Linked DNA regions of Oryctolagus cuniculus. The protein of the gene in region 1 binds, or shares a complex with, the protein of each later gene. Links are inferred from orthologs where the notes say so. Each region holds a gene or a part of one and is shown in the gene's direction. Other genes may lie near its edges. The genes, in order: PPFIA1 and PPFIBP1.

Region 1 (4,271 bases):
GGCAAACACGGGCTGGGTGCGCTGAGCCGCTGACCCTCAGGAGAGCTGCAAATCAGTGATCCAGACCCTGGTTCGGAGAACCGGGCACCCCTGCACCCCTGCAGAATCGCAGACCTAAGTGGTGGTTTTTTTTTTTTTTTTTTTTTTTTTTGTACAATTTTAACATGGCAAAGAGCTGGGGCAGAGATGCAGATTCGGGTTCGTGTGTGGTCCCTGGTCACCCAGTGCTTGTTCTAGGTGGTCTGACCCATGGAGATTCGAGGGATCACCTGGAGGGTTCGGGTGCGGCTCCTGGCTGCACACCAGCACCCAGAGGCCAGTGGGGCCGCAGCCGCTGCCCTATCGTTTTGGTTTATGAAGACCTTGCGCTCTCTGCGCCCGACCGTGCAGGGGGCGGGCACGCGTGCGTTCCTGAACGCTGGGACCCGCCACTTTTGCGTGGGATGTGGCACGCGGCAGGCGCTTTTTTAGGCGCTTGCGGAAAGGGTGACTGGTCACGCACGACTCGCAGGAGGGCTTCCCCTGCCCGGTTCCGCACCTGCTGGGCTCTCAAAGGCCCGGCCCCCGAGGGCAGCTCGGAGGTGCCTCCCACGGCGCAGGTCCTGCATCCCGGAGCTGTCCAGGGACAGGAGCGGCCGGTGGCTGAACCAGCCGTGCCTGCGAAGCCTGCACGTCCCCGCACGGCGCCCGTGAGCCTCGAAATCCGACGCTGCTGGTCTTGGCCGCCCCAGGTGCGGCATGTAGCGTCGGAACGTGGGTCTGGCGGGGCCGCCGCGTCCCGCCCGCCCTGTAAGGATCCGCCCGGGGCCGCTCCGGGACCGACGCGGCGGGGTCCGGGCCCGGCTGTCAGCGGGCGTCGGAGGTCGCGGTTCGCTCTCACGCAAGGTGGCGAGTAGCAGCGCCAGCCCCGGGAGCGGAGCGCCGACGTGACGTCCGGGGAGCTCTGGCTCGGGACCTGGCACACCGCCGGCGCGGGGGCAAAGGCCTCCCGCGCTCGCACGGCTGCGGGAGACTCGGGGGCAGCACGCAGGCGGAAGCTACAGCGGCCACCTGGCTCCGCGGCTCCCACCTGTGGCTCCGCCCGGGGACCCGTGTGGGCGGGGCGGGGCGGGGCGGAGCCTCCGCAACGCCCAGCCAATCGGCGCCCTAGCGGCCCCGCCCACTGCCTCCCGAGGCCGCGGCGCCTGCGCACTCGCGGCCGCGGCGCCCCGGGGCCCCTCCCCCGGGGCGGTGCTGACGCTCGCGCCGACGCGCCGGACGTCGGGCACGTTGACGCCGGCGACGCGCAGCCGGGCCCGCTCCTCCTGCGCTCCGCCAGTGTCCGGCCGCTGGCCGGCCTTCGTGACGGGCGGCGGGCCGCGGGGCCGCGGCGTGGGGCGGGCGGGCGCGAGCTGCCCGCGGCTGCCTTCGTCGGCCCCTGAGCTCGCCCGCAGCGAGCCGCCGCGGAGCCTCGTCGCCCGCTGCCGCCGGCCAGCAAGGTGAGGAGCGGGGGGCTGAGGCGGGCGCGGGGCCCGGGGCGCCCGGCGCCGGCCGGGCCGTCCCCGCGGACGGAGTGTCACCTGGGGGGCCGGGACGCCGCGGGGGCGCGGCTGGGGGCGCGGCCCTCGGCGGGGAGCCCCCACCCAGCTCGGCGCCCCGCTGCTCCCCGGGGGGCTCAGCCCTGGGGGCCGCGCGCTGACCGCGGCGCCGTGGTGACCCCAGCGCCGGGGGCAGGGGCGAGGACCTGTGGCCACGGCGGGCGGGCCTTGTCCCAGGGGCTCCGAGCACCCCCGGGTGCTGGGGCTTGTGCGGCACCTGACGCGGGAGGGGACGGAGGTGCGAGCGGTTGGCGGTGGCCGGCGCCCGCCAGGTGCGCGGCGCTGGGCTGCTGGCTCTCGGGGGTCGCGGTGCCCCGGCAGCCTCCGGAGCGGTGCCCGGCCTTTCCGCCGGAGACACCTAATAGCCTCTGGTCAGCTCGCCTTTCACTTTTCCTGGCTTCCTCGCTGGCCGTCCCGCGTGGAATTTCCACCCCCGCCTCCCCCAGGTTTATTTTTTTTGGGCTGTAAACTGACGTAAGCGAGGTTGACTGACCAACCACGGCAGCCGCGGAGAAACACCTCTGCCCGCCCTCCCCGGACCCGGTTCCCAGGTGCAGCCCGGCATTCGCGAGCCGACCGCACGCGTTCCCGTGCGATGCCCCCTCTCTGCCCTTCCTGCCCCGGCCCCGAGCCGGGCGGCAGGAAAGTCAGGTACCAGAAGCACGCGGAGAGAGCGGAGCCTTGCGGGCACAGCACCCCGCGGGCCGCTCTGGGTCCGCTCTGGGTCCTCGCTGGTCGCGGCCCCGGGCGTCTCTGCCGACCCCCTGCAAGCAGGCAGGACTGGGAGTGGGGACAGCCGGGTGCAGGTGTGTGCCCCGGATGACCGGGCTGCTGCCTGTCTTGCAGATGATGTGTGAGGTGATGCCGACCATCAGTGAGGCAGAAGGCCCCCCGGGAGGCAGCGGGAGCCATGGGGCCGGCTCCCCGGCCCAGCCCGACGCCGACTCGCACTTCGAGCAGCTGATGGTGTCCATGCTGGAAGAGAGGGACCGTCTTCTGGACACGCTGAGAGAGACCCAGGAGACGCTGGCGCTGACGCAGGGCAAGCTGCACGAGGTCGGCCACGAGAGGGACTCTCTGCAGAGGCAGCTCAACACCGCGCTGCCGCAGGTGAGGGCGCCCTGCGGCGCGGCTCCGGGCCGCTGTGGCCATGGCGCGGCGCGGCTCCGGGCCGCTGTGGCCATGGCGTGGCGCGGCGCGGCTCCGGGCCGCTGTGGCCATGGCGTGGCGCGGCGCGGCTCCGGGCCGCTGTGGCCATGGCGCGGCGCGGCTCCGGGCGGCTGTGGCCGCGGCTGCTGACGGTTGTGCTTGCCGCAGCGTTGCTCGGGGCCAGCTCCTCGGGACAGCAGCCGCGCCCTGCCTTTCCGCGCTCGGGCCTGGCGTGGCCAGCGCCCTCCGTCCTCCCGTCTCGCTCGGGCCTGGTGTGGACAGTGCCCTCCGTCCTCCCGTCTCCGGGTCTGACGTGGACAGCGCCCTCTGTCCTCGGGCCTGGGTGTGGGCAGCCCTCTCCGTCCTCCCATGTTGCTCGGGCCTGGCGTGGGCAGCCCTCTCCGTCTGCCGTCTCTGGGCTTTCCATGCAGAGTGTGAATTTCCTGCGGATTCTGTCCCACCGACCTGCAGTTCCCCTGAGGCGTCTGGTAGACAGACAGCTGGGCTTTGCCCTGGACTGGACAGCTGTGTTTTGTGGGTCAGGTTTGTTTCAGGAGCTGGGAGACTGGAGGTTGACCCCAGGGGAACTTGAAACAGCTGAGGCTGTTTGACCTCTCAGGGCGTGTCCTGCGGAGCTGAGTGGGGTTCAGTGGTAGGGGAAGGAGACGAGGGCGGGTGGGCCGCCCAGAGCACAGTGGGGATGCGTGGTTGCTGGGGGTCCGCGAGCTGTCTGCATGCCGCGTTCCTTATCCATAGAGGTGCCTTCGCGGTGGCTCCAGGGCGCTCTGACGAGTGAGCAGGTGCAGGACTGCTGCCCCGGTGCCCTTCTCGGCCGTCCTCGGCCGTCCTGAACACGACGAGCAGACATTCAGAGTTCCTTTTTAGCCATCGCAACTCGATGTTAGTGGTTTGTTGTGCGTTAGAGAATTCATTAAGATTTTTCTCTTTCAAGTCTTATAAACTACCAACTTTGTTTAGGTCAGATTTTAATGCCAAAAACGTCAAAGAATTGGCCGGCCCGTGTTGTGCGGGATTTTACTGTACGTGCTTGTAGGTCTTTTCCGCAGTTTCGTGTTTTGGTCATGGATACGGCACCCACGACAGTGCGTCCGACACGCGGGTGTTTGATGAGGTAGTTACCGGGTGGGGGCACGCAGGAGAGCAGGCCGGTGGCAGTGTGTGGCACACGGAGCCTCCGCGGGCGGCGGCGCCCGGGATCTTTCTGGAGAGGCCTGGTTGGCTGAAGGTGACGCCGCCGGTTCACGTCAGCGCCTGATTGCAGCACCGCCGAAAGCAGCCAGGGGACTTGTTTTGTTCCTTCTCTCTTCCTGGAATCTGGCTGGGCTTCGCTGGCTAATTGTGTGGCCAGATAAGCAAGCCGGAGAATGCTACAGAAAACATAGCTGCCGCCTGCGTCAGAAGGCTTCCCCGATCGGAAGTGTCCATCTCGGTGGATTTCACAGGCAGCGCCGTCCAGAATCAGCGCCCTCACCCAGAGCCTGGGCGCTGCCGGGGCTGAGGTCGGACGTCCTCCCGACCGCCTGC
Region 2 (3,184 bases), on another chromosome or scaffold:
TGTGCTGGGGTTGGAGGCTCAACAGTAACTAGGGGAGCGCGTTCTGGAAGGCTGCTGCTCGAGTCATTGCTTTTATGAGAGTTTTCAGTAACAAGGAGCACGACGCTAGCTTCCGTCTTGGCTATGTTGCCCACGCAGCAAGCCGGGGAGTGGGTTCCCCCTGGTCCTGCTTCTCCCATCCATTAGCCAGGGATACGAGGAAGGCGTCTGGCTGATTTCTGACCAGCCTCGACAGTTAGGAGTAGCTGCGGAAGAAATGACTCCTGGTAGAACAGCCGAGGACGGCGCTTTCCTAGTTCCCGTGGATTTGTGGGACATCCCCGACTCACGTGGCTCTTTCTTCTTCTAAGTCCCGTGCTGCATATGCTACCTCCATCAGTTTAATGCAAAGATGGAGTTTGCCAGCTTTTATAGAAAAACAGGGGGCACTCAGAAAGTTCATGGACAAATCAAACCAGAGAAGTGTATTTTTGCACCAAAAGAGTTTGAAACCTATGTGTCGTTTTTTCAAAATTCACATTTTCCATGAACTTTTTGAAGACCATGTGCCGCGTTCTAGGTTTTTTTTTTTACCTGCCCCCTTCCCATCCCATCTGCCTGAGCATCTTCTCTTTATTGTGTCCTTTCTCTGTTAAAAGTCAGGCTGCGGGCAGTTGTTTGGCCTGATAATTAAGGTACCTGGGTCTCACATCCCAGTACCTGGGTTCAGTACCCAGCTCTAGCTTGTGACTCTAGCTCCCTGCGAATGTGTACCCCGGGAGGCCACAGTGCTGTCTCGGTAACTGGGTCCCTCCCGGTGTGTGAGACCTGGCTTGCAGTCGCAGCTCCTGGCTTATGGCCTTGCCTGACCCTGGCCGTTACAGGCTTTTGGGGAGTGATCCCATGTTTGGGAGATAGCTCTGTCCCTCTGTGTGTGTGTGTGTGTGTGTCTCTCTCTATCCCACCTTCCCCCCTCCTTGTCCCTGTGTCTCTCAAATAAGTTTTTAAGAGTGTGACAGATTTGGGGCTGGTGCCATGCATCACTTGGTTAATCCTCCGCCTGCGGAGCTGGCATCCCATGTGGGTGCCGGTTCTAGTCCCAGCTGTTCCTCTTCCAGTCCAGCTCTCAGCTGTGGCCTGGGAGAGCGGTGGAGGATGGCCCGAGTGATTGGTCCCCTGCACCCGCATAGGAAACTGGGAAGAAGCACCTGGCACCTGGCTCCTGGCTTCGGAAAAGAGCAGCTCCGGCCGTAGTGGCCATTTGGGGGGTGAACCAACAGAGGGAGGACCTTTCTCTCTGTCTCTTCTCTCTCACTGTCTATAACTCTGCCTGTGAAATTAAAAAAAAAAAAAAAAGAGTGTGACAGATTTGGAAACCTTTGAGAGAGGTGGTTCTGTTTAAATGCCAGGCATCAGCCTGACCACCATTTCCATCCAGGCCAGCTCTCTGCTGTGGCCAGGGAGTGCAGTGGAGGATGGCCCAGGTGCTTGGGCCCTGCACCCCATGGGAGACCAGGAGAAGTACCTGGCTTCTGCCATCGGATCAGCGCGGTGCGCCGGCCGCAGCGCGCCGGCCGTGGCGGCCATTGGAGGGTGAACCAACGGCAAAGGAAGACCTTTCTCTCTGTCTCTCTCTCTCTCACTGTCCACTCTGCCTGTCAAAAAAAAAATTAAAAAAAAAAAAAAAAAGAAAAGAAAGTCTCAGGGGACTATCCAGGGTCTGAGATGGAGTTGCAGTTCCCAGTTAGCACTAAAGTTTTCTCTGCAGAAGACTGGAAATTCTTTTAGCAACAGCCAGTCCTGTTAATGGAAACAGAACAAGTGTATAGGACAGTGCAGCCTCGCCCACAGAGAAAACACAGTCAGGACCATTTGCTGTCATTGCAGTTGTTGTTTTGCTGGTTGCAAAACTTTGCATTAAGTCTTGTCTAATGAAAACTGGGGCTTCCGGCATATTTTTCATGGTGACTAAATAGCTAACTGGTGTAAGAAGAATAAGCTATCTCTCCTGAGCTTTATAACAAGGGTCACTTATCGTATTTGGGTGCATGATTCATTTGCCTAGGGTGTGCTTGTTTTTTTGTGGGTCTTTTTTTACTTTATTTTTTTCATGTAATGTAATGTACTACAAAGAGAACAGGTTCACTGTATTTCATACAGTTCTAAGAACATAATGATATTTTCTTCTTCCCTCCTTCCCTCGCTCTCCCTTTCTTTCTCTCTCTTAGTTTTTGAGACAACATCTTTTTAATTTACATTATACTCAAAGGCTAAATGCTTGCCCTTGCTTTTTGTTACTCAAATTTAATCATCTGTTCATTTTTCTCTGTGACAAGGCAAATAATTTTATCCCTGTTATCGGTATTTTTGTCATGTGAGCTCTCTCAGATATCCGGGTTTTTGTTTGATTTTCTCTTTACAGCCAAAGAAACTTACCTTCAGCAATTTTGGGAACCTGAGAAAGAAGAAGCAGGAAGATGGGGAAGAATATGTTTGTCCGATGGAGTTGGGACAGGTGTCAGGAAGTGCATCCAAGAAAGGATTTAAACCTGGTCTGGACATGCGTCTCTACGACGAGGACGACCTGGACCGGCTAGAGCAGGTGAGTGTGGCGCCGAGTGAGTCTCTCAAAGTGGCTCCAGCGTCCCGGCCCGAAGGGAATGCTGCACGTGTGTGTACTGATCCAGGGCCCAAAAGTCAGGAGAATAAAATAACAATAATAAACGCTTGGATTGTTGACGGCAGTCCAGGGACTCTCTAAGCACTTAATGTAGGATGTTCACGGAACCCGGAAAAGCCAGGGAGTATCATTAACTGAGACGCTGAGGTTGGTGACTTACCCCAGGGCTCTAACCTACCCAGCTGGCTCCAAGCCTGTGCTGCTGAGATGAACGGCCCATGTTGTACCAGCTCTGGGTTAAGGAAGTGTAGGCATTAGAACAGATCATTGGGGCTGGTGTTTGGCCTACAGCTTGAGACACCAGTCAGTATCTTCATATGCACTTTGTAGTACCTGAATTCAACCCCTGATTCCAGCTTCCTGCTAAGGAGGACCCTGGAGGGCAGTGGGGATGGCATAGGTAGTTGGGCTGCTGTCACCCATGTGGGAGATCTGGATGGCAGTCCTGGCTCTCAGCTTCAGTGTGCCTGAGTCCCAGCCCCCAGGGGCTGGCTTCTGGGGAGGAAACCAGCAAATGAAATTCTC

The links.
Region 2: PPFIA1 (region 1) and PPFIBP1 share a complex: the UniProt entries of both Homo sapiens proteins name them as parts of the cortical microtubule stabilization complex. The link is inferred for Oryctolagus cuniculus from reciprocal best matches to the Homo sapiens genes PPFIA1 and PPFIBP1.

The regions. Positions count from the first base shown.
Region 1 is NC_091432.1:2,222,457-2,226,727, forward strand, and holds the start of PPFIA1 (liprin-alpha-1), read left to right. Parts: upstream 1-1,272; 5' UTR 1,273-1,478; intron 1,479-2,207; exon of another isoform or gene 2,208-2,228; intron 2,229-2,423; coding exon 2,424-2,687; intron 2,688-4,271. UniProt on the Homo sapiens protein: May regulate the disassembly of focal adhesions. May localize receptor-like tyrosine phosphatases type 2A at specific sites on the plasma membrane, possibly regulating their interaction with the extracellular environment and their association with substrates.
Region 2 is NC_091440.1:124,827,978-124,831,161, forward strand, and holds part of PPFIBP1 (liprin-beta-1), read left to right. Parts: intron 1-2,401; coding exon 2,402-2,581; intron 2,582-3,184. UniProt on the Homo sapiens protein: May regulate the disassembly of focal adhesions. Did not bind receptor-like tyrosine phosphatases type 2A.